Linked DNA regions of Rattus norvegicus. The protein of the gene in region 1 interacts with the protein of each later gene in a biochemical or structural test. Links are inferred from orthologs where the notes say so. Each region holds a gene or a part of one and is shown on either strand. Other genes may lie near its edges.

Region 1 (7,968 bases):
CGATCTCTGCCTTGCTGGGACCTTCCACAGCAATGGACAGGCCCCCAGCTCCAGCTTCTCGGGTCCAGATGCTAAACTCAGCTGGACGGCAATAGGGTAGGGGTGGCGTCTTAGTGCTGTTGCCCCTCACATTGGCTGCCCTGGCCCCCAGCTCCCCCTGGCTTCAGCCCCTTACCTGGCACACCAGCTACACCTCGCTCCAGCCCTGTGCCTCCAGCCCGCACCTTGTGGGCACCACCTTCACCTAGCGGACCCACGGTGAACTGAAAAGGGCTTCCAGGCACATGTTGGCCCCGGTACTTGACAGCGACTGTGTGGGGGCCCATCTCCTGGGGCACAAAGCGCACACTGTATGCGCTGTCTTCTCCCTCAACGATCTCTGCGGCTTCTGTCTTGCCAGATGGACTGGTCACCTGGGCTGTCATGTCCTGAGAGCTGGCCTCACCTGAGGGGTTGGAGTGATGTCAGGCCAACAAGAGGCTGTATCTGTTCTCCGTGGTCTCCTCCCTCCTCGGTGAACCCCATTCTCTGCTCAGACCTGTCCTGGCCATCTAGGCCAAGGTGGCCAGGGATGAGGCCATTCTATCTCACAGAACAGGAGGCCCCAGCCTCCCTATGAGGGCCCGGATTCCCAGTGCTCTCTGCTTACCTTCCTGCTGTCGGGTGATGCTTCCAAAGGAGCCCAGGCGTTCCCGGCCGAGAAAATCGCCGAAAACAGCAGGGAAAGGGTCTCCGCCGACCTGGGTGGACTCCTCCACCCGGACTTCACGCTTGGTCTCCCCACCCCGAGTCTTGCTGATCTCTGTCCGCTCCGTGCGGGTGTACGTGTGACTGCTACGCGTGAAGGTGCGAGTCAGGCGCTCCTGGGCGGACACCATCTGAAACCAGTTTCCTATAGAAAGCCCCGTGGTGGGAGTGAGGAGGGAGGCAGCAGGACAGAGGCCCCAGGGTAGGCTCAAGGCGGCAAGGGCATCCCATGGCCACCCCTGCTCCACCCTGGCTCCTCTCTGCCTTTGCAGCATCTACCTGGGATCTTGAGGTTGAGGTCACAGGTGCTACCAATGGTGGCGATGGAAGGCGCCTGTCTGCGCCGGGTGATGCTCTCCTTCATGCGTCCCTCGCCAGTCACCTTCACGGTGAAGGGACTTCCTGTGAGTGAGAGAGAAAAAAGACTCAGGTTCACAGGTCACCTGCCTGGTCACCGGATTTGTCCCCTACTGAGTCCCCGCCCAGAGCCTCACCAGGCACGTGTTTGTCAGCAAACTTAATGTTGATGATGTAGGTGCCAGGTTCAGTTGGACAGTAGGTGACTTTGCAGGTACCGTCTTCCATATCCTCACAGTTAATGTCCACCTTGCTAGGACCTTCGATGCTCAGCCCCAGGCCTCCGTAGCCTAAGGGATGTGAGAAAGATGTCTCCCCTGAGCCCATGATACCTGCACCCACACTGCTCTCCTGTCCCGTGCAGAAGGCTCTGCCTAGGACAGACGTCAAATGAGTGTAGGGACCGCTAAGGAAAATGGCACCATGAGATGTGGAGAGGTGATCCAGTGTTTGTCATCAAGGCTTACTAAAGAGGCCTTCGGGAAAATTCCATACCTTGGACCTCTTGGATTCTAGTGAGTGGAGACTAACAAGCTCAGGACAGCTGAGCTTTCTCTCAGCTGTGACAGAGCTGACTGACGGGGGACATTCGCTTCCCCCCAGTGGGCTCTAGACTGAATCCCAACAGATCCAAGAAGCTCAGGGCAGGAGGGTGTGGCCAGAGGGGGAGGTTATGGGCAGGAAAGGGACAAGAATTTGTGGAGTGCTAATGATATGGGGGGTTCTGTGTCAAGAAGTACCTGCATTGCGAGTGTCCACAATGAACTCTGCCACTTGGAAGGTCTGTCCCTCGGAAAGGCCCTTGCCCCAGACTCGAACTTTGCTGGCATCGCCGATCTCCGAAGGCCCAACCAAAATCTTAAAGGGGCTGTTGGTGACGTGCTTGCCACTCTTGCGTACGCTCACCACATGCTCACCGACCTCCTTGGGGGTAAAGGAGATCCCTGTGGAGAGGGGACAGTAAGCAGAACATCCCCGAGGCCTCCCTGACCCAGGTACACCCAGGAGGCACTGCACTCACCAATGTGCCTGTTGGGCAAGCGCTTCAGCAGGCAAGGCTCCTCATTGCCTGAAGGAGCACGGATACTGGCTGTCAGCTGGCTGAGGTCACCCTCTGTGATCTTCAGTGACACATCGGTGGAGGTGCCCACATTAAGCTGGGACGTTCTCATTGAGTCGTCACCTGGGATACAGTTGGGACAGATCAGGATGTCGGCTCCAGACAGACTCTAGCATCCCTGGTCTGCATTCACCTTAACTACTAACAGCCTCAGAGGGACCCAGCATCCCTGTGCACTGTGCCTGTCTCAGTCCTGGGGAGGCTAAGTCTGTCCTTGAACCTTTATGTATTTGGTCCTGAGTCACATGGACCAGATGCTCTCTCTATGGCTCTGATCACAGTGCTAATTTGTCTCTGGGTTTTCTCAAAACAGTGTCAATATTTCAAGAGTAACTTGAAAACTGAAATAATAAAATATTTTTTCTTTTTTGTTGTTTGTTTGTTGTTTTTGGTATTTGGAGACATGGTCTTTCTATGTAGGCTTGGCTGACCTAGAGCTCTCTGTGTAGACTAGGCTGGCCTTGAGCTGACATAGATGATCACGTTTTTCAAAGCATGGACTGGTGGGATGTTCCTTGCCTGTTGTGGAGAACAGCATCCTTACATTTACTCCAGATGTTCTCCTCCCCTCAGCAGCCTCTGTCCAAATGTCCTGGGTGAGCTGACTTGAGTGTGTGTGGGGCAGGGTGCCCATGCCTGAATGTCCGTCTCACCTGTGATCTTGGCCGTGAAGGGGCTCCCTGGGATATGCTTGTCGTCAAAGCGCACAATGATGCTGTAGTCTCCAGGTGCTGTGGGTAGGTAGGACACGGTACAGGTGCCATCTTTGTTGTCCTTGCAGGTGATCTCCGCCTTGGATGGGCCCTCCACAGCCAGTGACAGCCCCCCTGTAAGCGAAAGTGGCTGAGATCAGAATCTATCCCTGTGCCTACAAACCTGGCAAGTCCCCTCACCTCTTTCGGCAGTTCTCCTCACCTTCCCCAGCGTCTTTGGTGACAATTGTGAAGGTGGCAGGCTTGTTGACCATGCCATGGCTCAGACCTGGCCCATAGGCACTGACATGCCCGCTGTTGATGGCATCCACATAGAACTGCAGAGGGCTCCCTGGGTAGTGACAGGTGGAGCTGGATTAGCATAGGGACAGGGGCTTCCCACAGCCATGTTGGCCCCCAGCATCTTCAACAGCTTTGGATTTTGGAGCCCCGTGCCTCTGCTACATGGACTTAGAAGCCCATTACCATCAAGAAACACATTTCCCAGAACCTTCTTTGGTGCCTGTACATGGCAGTGCTTACATATGTATTTAAAGGAGGCTGGCAGGACCAACATGGTGTTGGCTCCTCTTACCGTGGTCTCACCCTGCTCCCAACTCACCAGGGATATGGTTGCCATCGTACTTGATTCCCATCTGGTGCAGGCCTTTCTCTGTAGGTGCGTATCTCACTGTGATGGTACCGTCCTTGTTGTCAGTGATGTTGGGACGTGCTGTTTTACCAGAGGGCATCCGGACCTCCCCTGAAAGGCAGACATACTTACATGTAGGTAGGACACTAGTTTCTCCCAACACATGTCCCTGATGTCCCAGGGCCTGTTCTCAAGTGGCTCTGCTTTCCCCAGAGGCCAGACACTGGGAAGCAGCCCATTCAGGAATAGAAGGACTAGGAGACAGAAGGCTTGAACTTGAGTTCTCATTCTGCCCAACTTGTGAGACGCAACCTAATTTGTTTCCCCTCTCTGGGCCCTAGGTCTCATCCCTGCAATGATCTTAGCTGAAAGGCCAGGAAGCGTTCTCAGTTCTCAACAGAGTCTCACGTGTGGTGCACCCATTACCTGTCAGCTCCCCTTTCTGCACAGTGAATGGGATGACCAAGTTGAAAGGCCTCAGCATGGACTCCAAAGGCTCCACAGGAACCACGGGCTCCTCTGTGGCCTGTAGCAGGTGAGAGGAAAGAGAAGGCTGTAGTCGGTGGAGAACGCCGGGGAGTGTGGCCTGCCTCAAGACTGAAGTCAGAGAGAACGAAGAAAGAACAAGGTTAATAGTGAGACACCAATGGCAGAAGATGCGTCAGCTGCAGGAGAAGGGGTGCCATACTCAGATTTGGGCTCCCTCTGCCCATCCTAATGCCTGCATTCCCCAAGAGGCCCAACCATGGCCCAAGCCTGCAGAACAGAAGGAAGAATGAAGAAAGTAGGGAGAAGGATGACGAGGCCTGTCGTGGGAAGCTCTAGTACCCAGTGTGTGGGGCAGGTGCCAGGCCGAAGTGGGGCATATGGCTGGTGCAGCTGCAGCACTTCCGCAGGCTCCTCCACATGAGGCAGCGGGTCACATGCCTGGGGAATAAGGCACAGGGTGTACAATGTGGGGGGACCTAGATCTCAGAACCAACTCTCAGAATGGCCTAGGACTCAAGTCCTGGGTGGGTATCTCAGGTGTTCTATCCTTGTCCTGCAGGGCCACCCCTGTAGAAACAAGAGCTAAGGACAGTGGCCCAAAGGTCAGAAAAGAACACAGTGAGCTCCTTCAGAGAGGGATGATACCTCTCTGGTCAAAAGCAGAGCTGCACCACCTCCCTGCACATTGGAAGGCTACAGGAAATACAAAGGCTCATTCTAGAGTACTCTGGCTCCAGGATCTGTTTATCAGACATGGGGACAAGTTCTCTGACTCCTTGAGGACAGCTCCTAGGATCCCTTGCAGCTACTGAGAGGCATATTCTGAGTCCTTGAGGACAGCTCCTAGGATCCCTTGCAGCGACTAAGAGGTATATTCTCTGATTCCTTGAGGACAGCTCCTAGGATCCCTTGCAGCTACTAAGAGGCATATTCTGCATAACATGCACCATGGCCATGAGCTTACCAGCACATGGAAGGGGCTGTTGGGAATGTGTTCACCCCCAAAGCGGATGGTGATGACATATTTGCCCGGCTCAGGTGCTGTGTAGTAGATATCAAAGGTACCATCGTGGTTCTCAACTACATCCACATCGAGCTCTGCCCCGTCAGGTGTGGATACTGTGCAGGTCACCTTCCCCTTGCCTGCTGCCTTGGCATCCACTGTAATCACAGTCTCCTCTCCAATCTGGATTCTGGGACCCAGGCAGGCACCTACCACATGAAAAAGCCAGATCAGGGGCTGTGGAGGCCATGTCCAGCTCCCCCTTTCCCGGCTGCTCCCACAGCCTCCAGCCCTTAGTAAAGAAAGAAAAAGTTACTCACCCAGTCCATGGCCTCCAATGGATACTGGAAATAGAGAAGAAAGTTAGGTCATTAAGGTTCAAGATGACCTAGAGGTGGTGGGAGCTGGGCTGGGCAAAGAGTATAGACTTTTTGCCAGCATGGCCCCAGGACTGGGCTGGGAGACTGAATGCACTCTAAGGGGCTGACGAGAAGGGACTCAGAGTTGGTACTCACCTGTAACAAGGCACTTGCTGGCATCCCCTGTAGGCAGGGCGTGGATACGGAAGGGTGAGTAAGGGATCTCATCGCCGCCATACTTGATGGTGATGGTGTACCGACCACTCATGTCTGGCAGGTAGGACACGGTGTATGTGCCATCCCCATTGTCTCGGATGTTGGCCTTCTTGGGTTTACCCTCGGGATCCTAGAGGAGAAGGAGAGGTCAGGCCTACCTATGTCCACAGAGGGCATATATGCTGGGCAGGGGGCTGTGCCTAGACTTACCAGGATCTGGACTGTGAGAAGCCCCTCACCAGCATCACGAGCATCAATGGTGAACTCCACGGGCAGGCTGGCGGGGATGCCGGAGGCATTGAGGCCAGGGCCACTGGCCCGCACTTTGCTGGCATCGTGGGCCGGAAGCACTTTGATCTTGAAAGGGCTTGAGAAACAGAAGGAGCGGACAGTTGTCAGGGAGTTGGAGCTTGAGATATGTGAGCCTTCCCACATGGGCAGAAGGAGTGACTCTGCAGGGCAGCCCTGAAGGCCTGCTTCCCAGGACATCTTGAATCTTGGAGAAGGGTCACTGAAGGACCCATGGAACATAGATAGTGTTTTCTCCAAAGGAAGATGCTGTTAATTGTTTAAAGAGTCTGCACACTTTCTGTGGCTCTTTTCCTTGATGCTTATCTGGTGCTGAAGCTAGTGGGGTGATATTACCTTCTGGGTAGGGAACCTTGGAGTGGGGTAGGATGGGGTAGTCCCTGAAGGAGGTTTAGACAAATAAGGGGGGGGGGGACTCTGCCCAAGTCCTGGCCTTGAAGGTTAGGCCCTAGGAGAAGCTCTAGCTCAGCATGGATTGGTCAAGGCTGGCCCTCACCTGCGTGGCACCTCCTGGTCAGCATACTTGACAGCTACTGTATAGGGTCCGTCAGTGGCAGGCGTGTAGTGGACAGTGTGGGTACCGTCGCCATTGTCACGCACCTCCACAGGCTCAGCCACACCTGGGCAGAGGCAGAGGAGTGTCAACAGGGCCTCCTGGAACCTCCCCTCCCTCCCCTCTTTCACTCCAGACATTCCATACCTGTGGGTCCCAGCACTGCCACCTGTAGAGGGGCCCGGCCAGCTTGACTGCAGTCCACTGTGAAGGTCTGAGGTACCCGAGCCCTGACGCCAGTCCCTAGCCCTGGCCCTGAACACTTCACCTTCCCAGGGTCCACAACATCCTTCACAGGAACTCGGAATGGGCTTCCTGGGAGAGTGAGAACAGAGATGGTGGAGGTCAGCCTCTCCCCACTCCCTGGCACAGTTTGTCTTCCCGCACTGAGGATCTGTGGAGCAGGCAACCTCCCTGCTGCTGAGAGGCCCACTGAGACAGAGCAACATGAGAAGCAGTTTGGAACTTGCTGAGAAATAAAAAAAGAGAGTAAGCGAATTTGACTGCAGAACGAGGCAGGGCAAACCTCACCTTCTTAGACTCAGCCTGGGAAGAAAGCCCTCCTAAATCTTTAAAATGTTAACAATGGAATTAAAAAAAAAAACCAGCTTATGTCTTTTGACATTGTAGCTGAAATATGAAGAGGACACAGAATTAAATAAGAGGAAGCAGTGTCTTGTTTTAGCAGACCTCTTCCTACAATAACAGAAGACATGACATACCCTAGCAGTTGGGCTTTGGACAGCAAATCCTGCCAGTGGATCTGTATGAGCAAAGTCTGGTGCAAGGGCCTCTGAGAATGAACTGGAATGTTCTCACATCCACAGCACCTCCTGCCCTGCCTCTTACCCTCTGCAAATCTCCACATCCCTTTCCTCATGACCTCAGCATCCCATCACCCTCTTCCCAGAGCCCATCCCCCACTTTTTGCCCACCTGGGATGGGTTGTCCCCCAAAGGTGATGTTGACATCATAGTCCCCAGGAGTGAAGGGGACGTACTCCACAGTGCAACTGCCATCTTTGTTGTCCTTGCAGGACATCTTAGCTTCTGAGGGGCCCTCGATGGCTAGGCCAAGGCCTCCTGTGCCAGCACCCCTATAAAAGAACACTTCTGTCAGCTGTTCCAGAGCCAATGAGAGGTATGGAAGGGATTGGGGGACAGGGAGGAGAAAAGAGGGCAGGCTGAGTCAAGGTCAAAGCTAGGCAGAGAAAAGGATACCTAGTTTCCACAGTGAAGCGGTTGGCCTTGTTGACCAAGCCACCCTCTAGGCCTGGTCCGAAGGCCCGGACTCGGGTGGGGTCACAGCCCTCCGTCACACCCACTCGGAAGGGGCTCTTGGGCACGGCTACTTCGTCATACAGCACCTCCACCAAATGCACACCTGGAAACCAGTCACTGAGTCAGTCAAGGAGAGCAGAACCCCCATCCCTGCCCACCCGGGAATTCTGTGAGCCATCCCCTCTCCCACG
Region 2 (7,968 bases), on another chromosome or scaffold:
TGTGTAAAATGACCTAATCTGCTTGTATATTTGTCTCTGTCAGCCCCGTGAGGTCAAGAATGAATTCTGCCTTGTTCATCTCTATTTTTAGCACCCTGAACAGATCCTGGCACGAAGCGCTATTGAATGCCAGTAGCGTGAATCCACAGATTGACTCAATCGTTTCGTTCATGTGTATGCTCGTTTGACTAGTAACCAAGATGAACAACACCGGGCACACTCCCCCTGCAGGTGGGAAAGGAGATGTTAAAAATATTCCAGAAGGCTGTGGACACAAGTCTGGAGAGGAATAGGCAAGATCAGAGCACCAGGGGCTCAAGATCATCTTCAGCCACAGAATAATTTTGAGGCCAGTTTGATACGAGACCCTCAAAACCGAATAAAACAAAAAACAAGGCTGCTGAGCCGTGTGGTACACACTTGTAATCCTCAGTACAGATGGGGGTTGGGGTGCAGGAGAATTATTACAAATTCAGGACTAGTTTGATCTACCTACTGTTTCAAGTCCGTGTCTCGAATTTCAGAAAACAAAGCTCTCCCCTAAATTGCAGTACTAAGAATGAATGCCAGCCAAAGGCTTATTAACACCTATCAATTCACAGTCTTCACAGGGTTGTTGCCACAATCACACCCATTGACAAACAAGGACATTGAAGAGTACACTCCTGTGCTAAGGTGCTGGGACCAGTGACCAAGCAAGAGCCTGTGGAATGTGGGGGGAGAGAGAAGGTGAGGGATCACTCGGTTACCTGGGCCAAGTATTTGATCTTTTGTGCTACTGAGGATTGATTTACTGGGAGCTTGTGCGTGTCAGGTGAACAAGGCACCACTTGAGTGTATGCATACACACTCCCACACTTTTGGTTTTTTAGGCTGTGTCCCGGCTCCCACACCCTTTCTTATGAGACAGTCTAATGCAGCCCAGGCTGACCCCAAACTTACTAGTTGCTAACAATGACCTTGAACTTCCTCCTGACTCCTCCTCCAAAATTATGTGAACACACTGCTTGCCCTGAGTCCTGTTCTCTTGACATTCAGTTGTCAGGTGGTTCTTCCTTAAGGAGCTCCACCCTTGCTACTTCTCTGAGGCTACTCTGTCATGGTCACACTGCCATGACTCATGACTTGTGTCTTCCGAGTGGAAAGTTAGGCACTCACCCTCCTTCTGATGTCATCTTTCTTGTCTCTCCTCCTCCTCATGTTAAGTCAGTCTCCTGACACAGCAGCCCACCGGATCTTGCTGTCATCCCTGTGACCTACAATGGACCTGGCTTAGAATGTTTGGTGGTTTTTGAGAGAGGGAGAACGGTTTTCACTAAAATCTTTGCAGTTTCCAACCAGGATCTGATCGCTCCCTTCCTAAGAACACCTCCTGCTTGGCACATGGTACCCACTGTGAACAAGAAGTATCTGAGCCACTCTGGGCATGGGAATTCTGGTGGGACTTCCTCTAGTGCTCCCACCTCTCTCCCTGGCTGTATGGGGTTGTTTTCCCATTCTGGGCCAGGATTTTAAGAACTTCCCCTGGAATGACATCTAAGAACATCAGGAGGGAGGTAAAGATAAGGGGGCAGCAGCATGTAGGTCTGTGTCGTGTTGATGCCCGTGGTACACACCTGCGCGTGTGTACATGCGTGAGAGTGGTACATGGCGTGTGTGCTGCTGTGGTGTGCATGTGTATGTGTCATATGTGTATATGAGCGTGTAGATAATAGAGAGCAGGGCAGTGGGCCGGGCCTTTCTGTTTTCTGATGTACACTGTTGGAGAATGCTGAATGGATCTTCAGCATCTGTATTGTTACTGTTGGCAGAGGCACCTGGTGACCATGACTGTCCTCCCTGTGAATGCAGACTCTGGGGCAGCACATACACAGTCTGACACACAGAGCAGAGAATCTCTTTTGGGTTTATTTTTGGGTCATTTTTCCCATTGGGGGTGCAGAGTGGGGGGGTGATGGGATCAGGAAGGGTGGTGTATTCGGCTGCTAGGAACACTATTGGCTGCTAGCGTTCTCTCAGTGCCCTTTGGACCACTGGTGATGAAGAGGCAGCACCCAGGTTTTTCTGGAACCTTCAGTCCAATCTCAAATAGAGACCAATGTCATGTCCAGTCTGCTCAGCCCCGGGTCCTCACCAGGGATTGAGGTAGCCACATTCCATAACCTAAGAGAAAGGCTGGCCATAGAGGGACACAGTGGAGGGGTGTCTATCCAGCTCTAGGCAATAAGATGCAGACTCGAATGTGCGAATGTGAGCTGGGCTAGTGTGGGCTAGATCTCCACAACCACCTGTCAGGTCCTGTCCTACCCATCCAGCTTTCCTGTGGATGGCTGCTTTACTTTTCTTGTCCCTTCCCAAGAATTGGAACGAACAAGGCAAACAGCCCTCATCAGCTCTCCGAAGGCCCCGTTTTTCTTGGTCATTGTTCCACATGTCCTGGAGGTAGGCCCGTGACTCAGTCCTAGAGCTCTGGGGGAGGAACCCAAGACTGGGGGGAGACAGAGGGGCTCACTGGGCAGCCGGATGGAAGTGGCTACAGGGAACCCATGGTATCTCGGCACCAGCCAGGTCGCTGTTGAACCTGGAGGGACTGTGGAGGAACTGCCTTAGCATGGGAAAAGTGTAGAGCCCGAGTTGGGGCCTGGGGTCCATCAGAGGCTCTGCCTGCTGGGTGATGGTGGTGGAGGAAGTGAGGACTGTATTCCCAAATTGGTCCATCTCCTCATACTGTTCAGTCACTGTTTTCGTGGCTCCATAGGACTTGGAGGTAGCAGACCCAGTCTGGAATTCCAGAACATTCTCTTGCTGCCCTGTGGGCACAGAGCCCTTGATGGCCATCTCCTTTGTCCCAGCCTGATCCTGGATATCTCTCTGGTAGAGCAGGGCTTGGCTTATGTCCTGAGCTAGGTGTGTATTTTTCCCTGAGATAGAATGGCTTCCCTGAGGGCTGGAAGCATCTAGAAGCGTCTTTGCAGCTGATTGGATAGAGATGAAAGTTGGAGAGGAGGATCCCCTGCAGGAAGGTGAGACTTGTTGGAGGCCAGGCTCGGCTCTTGCCGTCTCCAGCCTCCTGGAGGGCAGGACATTCACTGCTGCCTGACCTCTGGCCTCTGCATGATTTCTAATCTCATCTTGACCTTGCGCCTCAGGACGGCTCTCAACCTTTTCTTGGTTTTCGACTGCAGGTGGCTCTTTGACCTGGTTGGAGCCCATCGGTCTGGCTCTGTTACTGGTGGAGACCTTTTTCACACCGAGATCCTTTGCACTTCCCTGTGGAGGGCTGCTTGTGTGACCCTCGGACTGGAAGCTAAATATGGAGCTCAGAGCCTTGTGCACTGTTTCTTCGATGTCCAGCAGCCTGGCTAGGGTCTGTTCTTTCAGCTGGGCAACCTTTGAACTCACCCGAGTTAGCTCCCCAAAGGCCTGCTCCACTGAGACCTCAGTCTTGTGAGGAGCTGTGGGAACCTGACGGGTACCCCCTGCCAGCTGGGGTGCACCCTCAAAGAGCTTCCGCAGGGTCTGCACATTCACGGTGTGGGCTGCTTCCTTCTCCAGGGTTTGCACTTGGCTCAGGAGGCCCTGGAGCTCTTGATGGCTGCCCTGAACAATCTCTGGGCTCTCAGGGGTCCTCTGCTTGGAACCATCCATAGGCTGCTGTTTTGGGGAGCTAGGGTGCTTTTGTGGTGGGCTGACGTCATTGTCATTGTTGAGAATGGTCAACTTGCGAGACTCAGGGCTCTGGCTGTTGCTGTTGCTTGTTTGGCCCCCGCTAGGTCTGGAAGCTGTGGTGCTGAGTGGATACTGGCGCATAGGCTGTTTCTGCCCCTTGGAGCACTCAGCCAGGGGCAGGCAGCCCTGACCTGCTATTGTGGGAGCTTTGGCCGACCCAGGGTTGGCTACACCTGGCTCACCTGGCTTATGGTCTTGTCCTGCTTCTGAGATGCTGGCAGAGGCTGCTAAGGGCTTGGGCAGCCTATGAGGTGGGTGGACTTGGCTTAGATGGGCAGGTTTCGGAGGCACTGGGGGTTTCTTTCTTGGAAGCACAGTGGATTCCGCTTTAGAGAGCTTTGTCTCTGACCCTTCAAGGGTTTTCTGGCCAGCAGGTCTGTTGTGACTGTGAAGAAGGGGTTCCCGCAGGGGCTTGGAGGCCTGCTGGACGGAGTCCTTCTGGTGGTGGCCTTGAGCTGGGTGGTCTGGTTCTTCTGTCACAGCAGCTGGGAGAGTAGGAGGAGAGGCATTATGGGAGTGCAGGCTGTCACCTGCAGCCTGGGGTTTAGGTGTCAGAGTGTGGTGAGTTAGAGGGACAGTCTTCAGGGAGGTGTCTGCTGCCTGGAGGCACTCAGGCCAGATTTGTGGCATCACTTTCCCCAGAGGTCCCCAAGCCCTTTGTGAGTGACCCCCAGGCTCGTGATATTCTGGCCTGGGACTCTGACCTTGGTCTGCCTGGGGTGGGCTGTCCCTTGGCTGGGGTTCTTTTTCAGAAGGCTGGATGGCCCCAGGTAGGTCAGAGGTTCTCACAGGGTGAGCAGCATAGATACCATCCTGTATGGTCACCCGCCCCCTAGGCAGCCCTCTGGGGACTGCTTTGTTGTCTCCACTGACCTTTCTGGGGACCGCTGTGATCCTGGCGTCCCTTCCAGCCACAGGCATGATGCTACCTTGGGTAGTGGTAGGAGTCGGCACTTGCAGAACATCTTGAGCAGATATGGAGGTGGCTGCAGGGTCAGAGCCCTGTGCATGCCTGCTCAGAACCTGCTGGTGCAGGCTTTGGGCCTCAGCAGTTGCCAAACGCAGATTTTGCATGGCCTCCTGGAGATTTGGAGCCCCAGACCCTAAAGGAGGAGCAATGGTTCCTTCTGGTCTTCCTGAGGCTGCCTTCCCTTTCTGCCCAGCATGGCTGATATCCACTTGCTTCCTTGCTTCCTGCAATGGTGCTCCCGGTCTCCCATTTGGAAGGACCACTTTTCCAGCTGCCCGAGGTAGAGGTGGGCAGGGTGTGGATCCTGAGACTCTCAGATGCCCCATCTTCATGGTGGAGTCTAATGGGGTGACGCGTATGATGCTCTCAGTTGGGGGAAGCCTCTGGGTCTCCTCAGTAACTGGTACTGAACTTGAGTCTGTTGGCGGCTCCCACCGCAAACTGGGAAGGCTGTGCAGTTCTCCTTTGTCTATGCAGCTGGCCAGCAGCTGCACACTGCTTCTTTCAGGGCCCCTGCTGGTTGGCTGGGGCTGGAGGGAGTAGGCAGTCAATGCCACTAGGCCCTGTCCTGTTTCTTGCATCACCAGCCCCGTCTTTGCCATAGAGACTCCCAGGCCACAGGCCAGCAGCTGCTGGAGCTCCGGGTCCATGTCTTCAATATTCTCAGGGTCACCAGGCCCTGGCAGTTTGAGTGGGTGGAGTCGGAGTTGGCCAGCTGTGTCCTCCTGAACCAGCAGTCCCTGCTGGTCCACATCTGTCCGGCCCAGCACTTGACGGACGATCCTGGGGAGCTCACCGCACACCAGCTCCTCCTTCTGTACACAGGGGCGCCCCTGCCCTGGGCTTGGGAGCACATACTTGGCAAGGCAGAGCTCCCCTGGCCCTCGGGCTTCCATGAGGATCCCTCCGTGGTGCAGGATGCCAGGGGTGGCATGCAAAGTCCGAAGGGTTCTCTCGGCTGCTGTCTCCTGCCTCTCTGGGGTCCCAGGGTCTGCAGAGACTTTGGGCTGTTCTTCCTGGAGGTTGCCCCCACTGACACTCTCTGCTGCCAGGGAGCCCATGGGGCAGTTTTCAAAGAGCCAGGTGAATTTATGCACGGAGCCTGTGGGGATGGATCCGGGGCTTAAAACAGTCTCCTGTACCCCCCTCTTGCCTGCTTCCAGGGCTTGGAAAACTTCTTTCTGCCGAGATACCTGCCCGGAAGGAATCTCCACTCGGCTGCAGTACCTTACAGGCTTTCTCCCACTGGACTGGCCCTGGGCTGACAGAGATTCAGTCTCAAAGACATGGCTGTCTGTCTGTCTGTCTCCAGCCTGGACCTGGCTGGTTTGCAAGTGCTGCTCCCCAGAGCCCTCTGCCTGGTTCAGAGATTGGGACCCAAACATCCAGGTGCATGACTGTGCCTCTGCCTTGCTCACAGGGCCTGTGACCTCAGATTCCTGCTTCTCTGCCAACTCGCTCATAGGGTAGGTCTCAAATAGCCAGCGGATGGTTTGTACATCGCCCTTCTGGGGGAGCTCAGGAGGGGGGCCTCCTGGACCCCTCCCCTCCTCCTCCTCTCGCTTCTGCTGCTCTTGTTGGTGGATCATCTCCAGTGGTTGCGTCTCAAAGAGCCACCGAGTGGTGCCTACATCCCCAGCCACCACTTCTTGCCGGGTGATGCCTCGCACCACATCCACGGTACTGGGGCTTCTGCCCAGCCGGTCCAGGGGCTGTGTCTCAAACATCCACTTGTAGCCTTGTACATCACCTCCAACTACCTGCTCTCTGCTGACAGAAGTCAGGGCATGAAGCTGTCCTCTGCTGTCCTGCATAGCATATACGGGGGCATCGGCGCCCTCGGACAGCCCAGTAGAATCAGTCCTTTGTCCTCTGTTTATGTTTCCACAGGCTGAAGGCTCACCCTGCCCAATGCTGTCTAAGGGAAGGGTCTCAAAAAGATTCTTGAAGGTTTTCACATCCCCTTTCGGCCCATTGTTCTGGGGGACACCCTGAGACAGAGGCAGCGCTGAAGTGCCGTTACTGGACAGACACTCTATCACAGGCCCCTCACCCTTCTGGTGATCCACCCGTTGCAGGTGACCCACTTGGACCTGGTCTCTGAAAGCATCCAGGGGTTTTGTTTCAAACAGCCAGAGTGTAGAGCGGACGTCACCAGGAATCACCTCCTCCTTGGCTGGAGCCTCTGCCTCGGTTTCTCTTTCTCCCTTCAGAGTGTCCAGGGCGCAGGTCTCAAACAGATGTCGCTGATGCTGAACGTCTGGACCAGGAGGGATGAGATCTGGAGATGGCTGGAAGTCCTTCTCGTCCACCAAGATCTCACGAATGGCATCCAGAGGCTGCGTCTCGAAGATCCAGCGAGTTGCACTGACGTCGGGCAGGGCTCCCTCCTCGAGGGAGATCCCCCGAATCACCCTCACCTGGCTGGGGTCCTGGTTGAAGGCGTCCAGAGGTCGGGTCTCAAAGAGCCAGCGAGCTGACCTCACTGCATTGCTCTGGATCTCCTCCCGACAGGCAGCCTTGACTTCATGGATGGCGCCCTCTGCATCCTGGATGGCACATAGAGGCTCCGTCTGAAACAGCTTCACCGTCTTCTTCACATCACCCTTCAGCTCCTGAATCTCTGAGCGCAGCTCTAAAGGGCTCTGGTCCTGGATAGAGGGGCAGGAGCCCAGCATGTCGAGGGGCTTAGTCTCAAAGAGTTTTCTGGTTCCCTGTACATCTCCAGAGACTGCAGGTTCCTTCATGGTCATCTGTGTTGCCTCTTCCTGGCCTGTCAGTGCATCCAGTGACTTGGTCTCAAACAGCTGTCTGGTAGCTCGGACGTCACCCCCTGACAGCTGGGGTCCTGGCTCCAGATCTGAGCTGTTGGTAAAGGAGCCTTCCTCAAACTTCCGAGAGGTGGCCTGAACGTTGCCACCTGACACAGGCTCCTTGCCAGCTGGCCTCTCGTGGTCGCCAATGGCATCCAAACTCCAGTTCTCAAAGATCCAGCGCATACATTGCACATCGCCCTCGGTGGGCTCCTCCGAACCGAGTACCTTGGCCAGGTCCTCGGCTACAGCCTCCTCGAGGTTCTTCCGAAGCTCAGGGTGGATGTGTTTGTAGAGACGGCGAAGCTCGTTGGCTTGCCGCTGCTGCTGGAACTTGGAGAAAGATTCTTTGGGGGGCGGTGGCGGCAGACCCTCTAGGGCTGAGGGAGGGGGAAGGGGCAGGTCCTCTCCAGTCCTCATTTGGATGGTTGGTGTATGAACTACCTGCATCTGGGC

Evidence for each region. The genes of interacting proteins can lie anywhere in the genome.
Region 2: the proteins of Flnc (region 1) and Xirp1 form a complex in vitro, tested with the Homo sapiens proteins (2 studies listed by BioGRID and IntAct, with this or other methods). The link is inferred for Rattus norvegicus from reciprocal best matches to the Homo sapiens genes FLNC and XIRP1.

The regions. Positions count from the first base shown.
Region 1 is NC_086022.1:59,014,992-59,022,959, reverse strand, and holds part of Flnc (filamin-C), read right to left. Parts: intron 7,881-7,968; coding exon 7,718-7,880; intron 7,594-7,717; coding exon 7,433-7,593; intron 6,813-7,432; coding exon 6,645-6,812; intron 6,565-6,644; coding exon 6,441-6,564; intron 6,003-6,440; coding exon 5,846-6,002; intron 5,766-5,845; coding exon 5,576-5,765; intron 5,405-5,575; coding exon 5,381-5,404; intron 5,270-5,380; coding exon 5,022-5,269; intron 4,496-5,021; coding exon 4,397-4,495; intron 4,095-4,396; coding exon 3,995-4,094; intron 3,680-3,994; coding exon 3,539-3,679; intron 3,269-3,538; coding exon 3,140-3,268; intron 3,052-3,139; coding exon 2,878-3,051; intron 2,288-2,877; coding exon 2,126-2,287; intron 2,049-2,125; coding exon 1,845-2,048; intron 1,395-1,844; coding exon 1,242-1,394; intron 1,150-1,241; coding exon 1,027-1,149; intron 893-1,026; coding exon 650-892; intron 446-649; coding exon 176-445; intron 82-175; coding exon 1-81.
Region 2 is NC_086026.1:128,623,221-128,631,188, forward strand, and holds the end of Xirp1 (xin actin-binding repeat-containing protein 1), read right to left. Parts: coding exon 2,509-7,968; 3' UTR 1,891-2,508; downstream 1-1,890. UniProt on the Homo sapiens protein: Protects actin filaments from depolymerization. Required for correct cardiac intercalated disk ultrastructure via maintenance of cell-cell adhesion stability, and as a result maintains cardiac organ morphology, conductance and heart beat rhythm.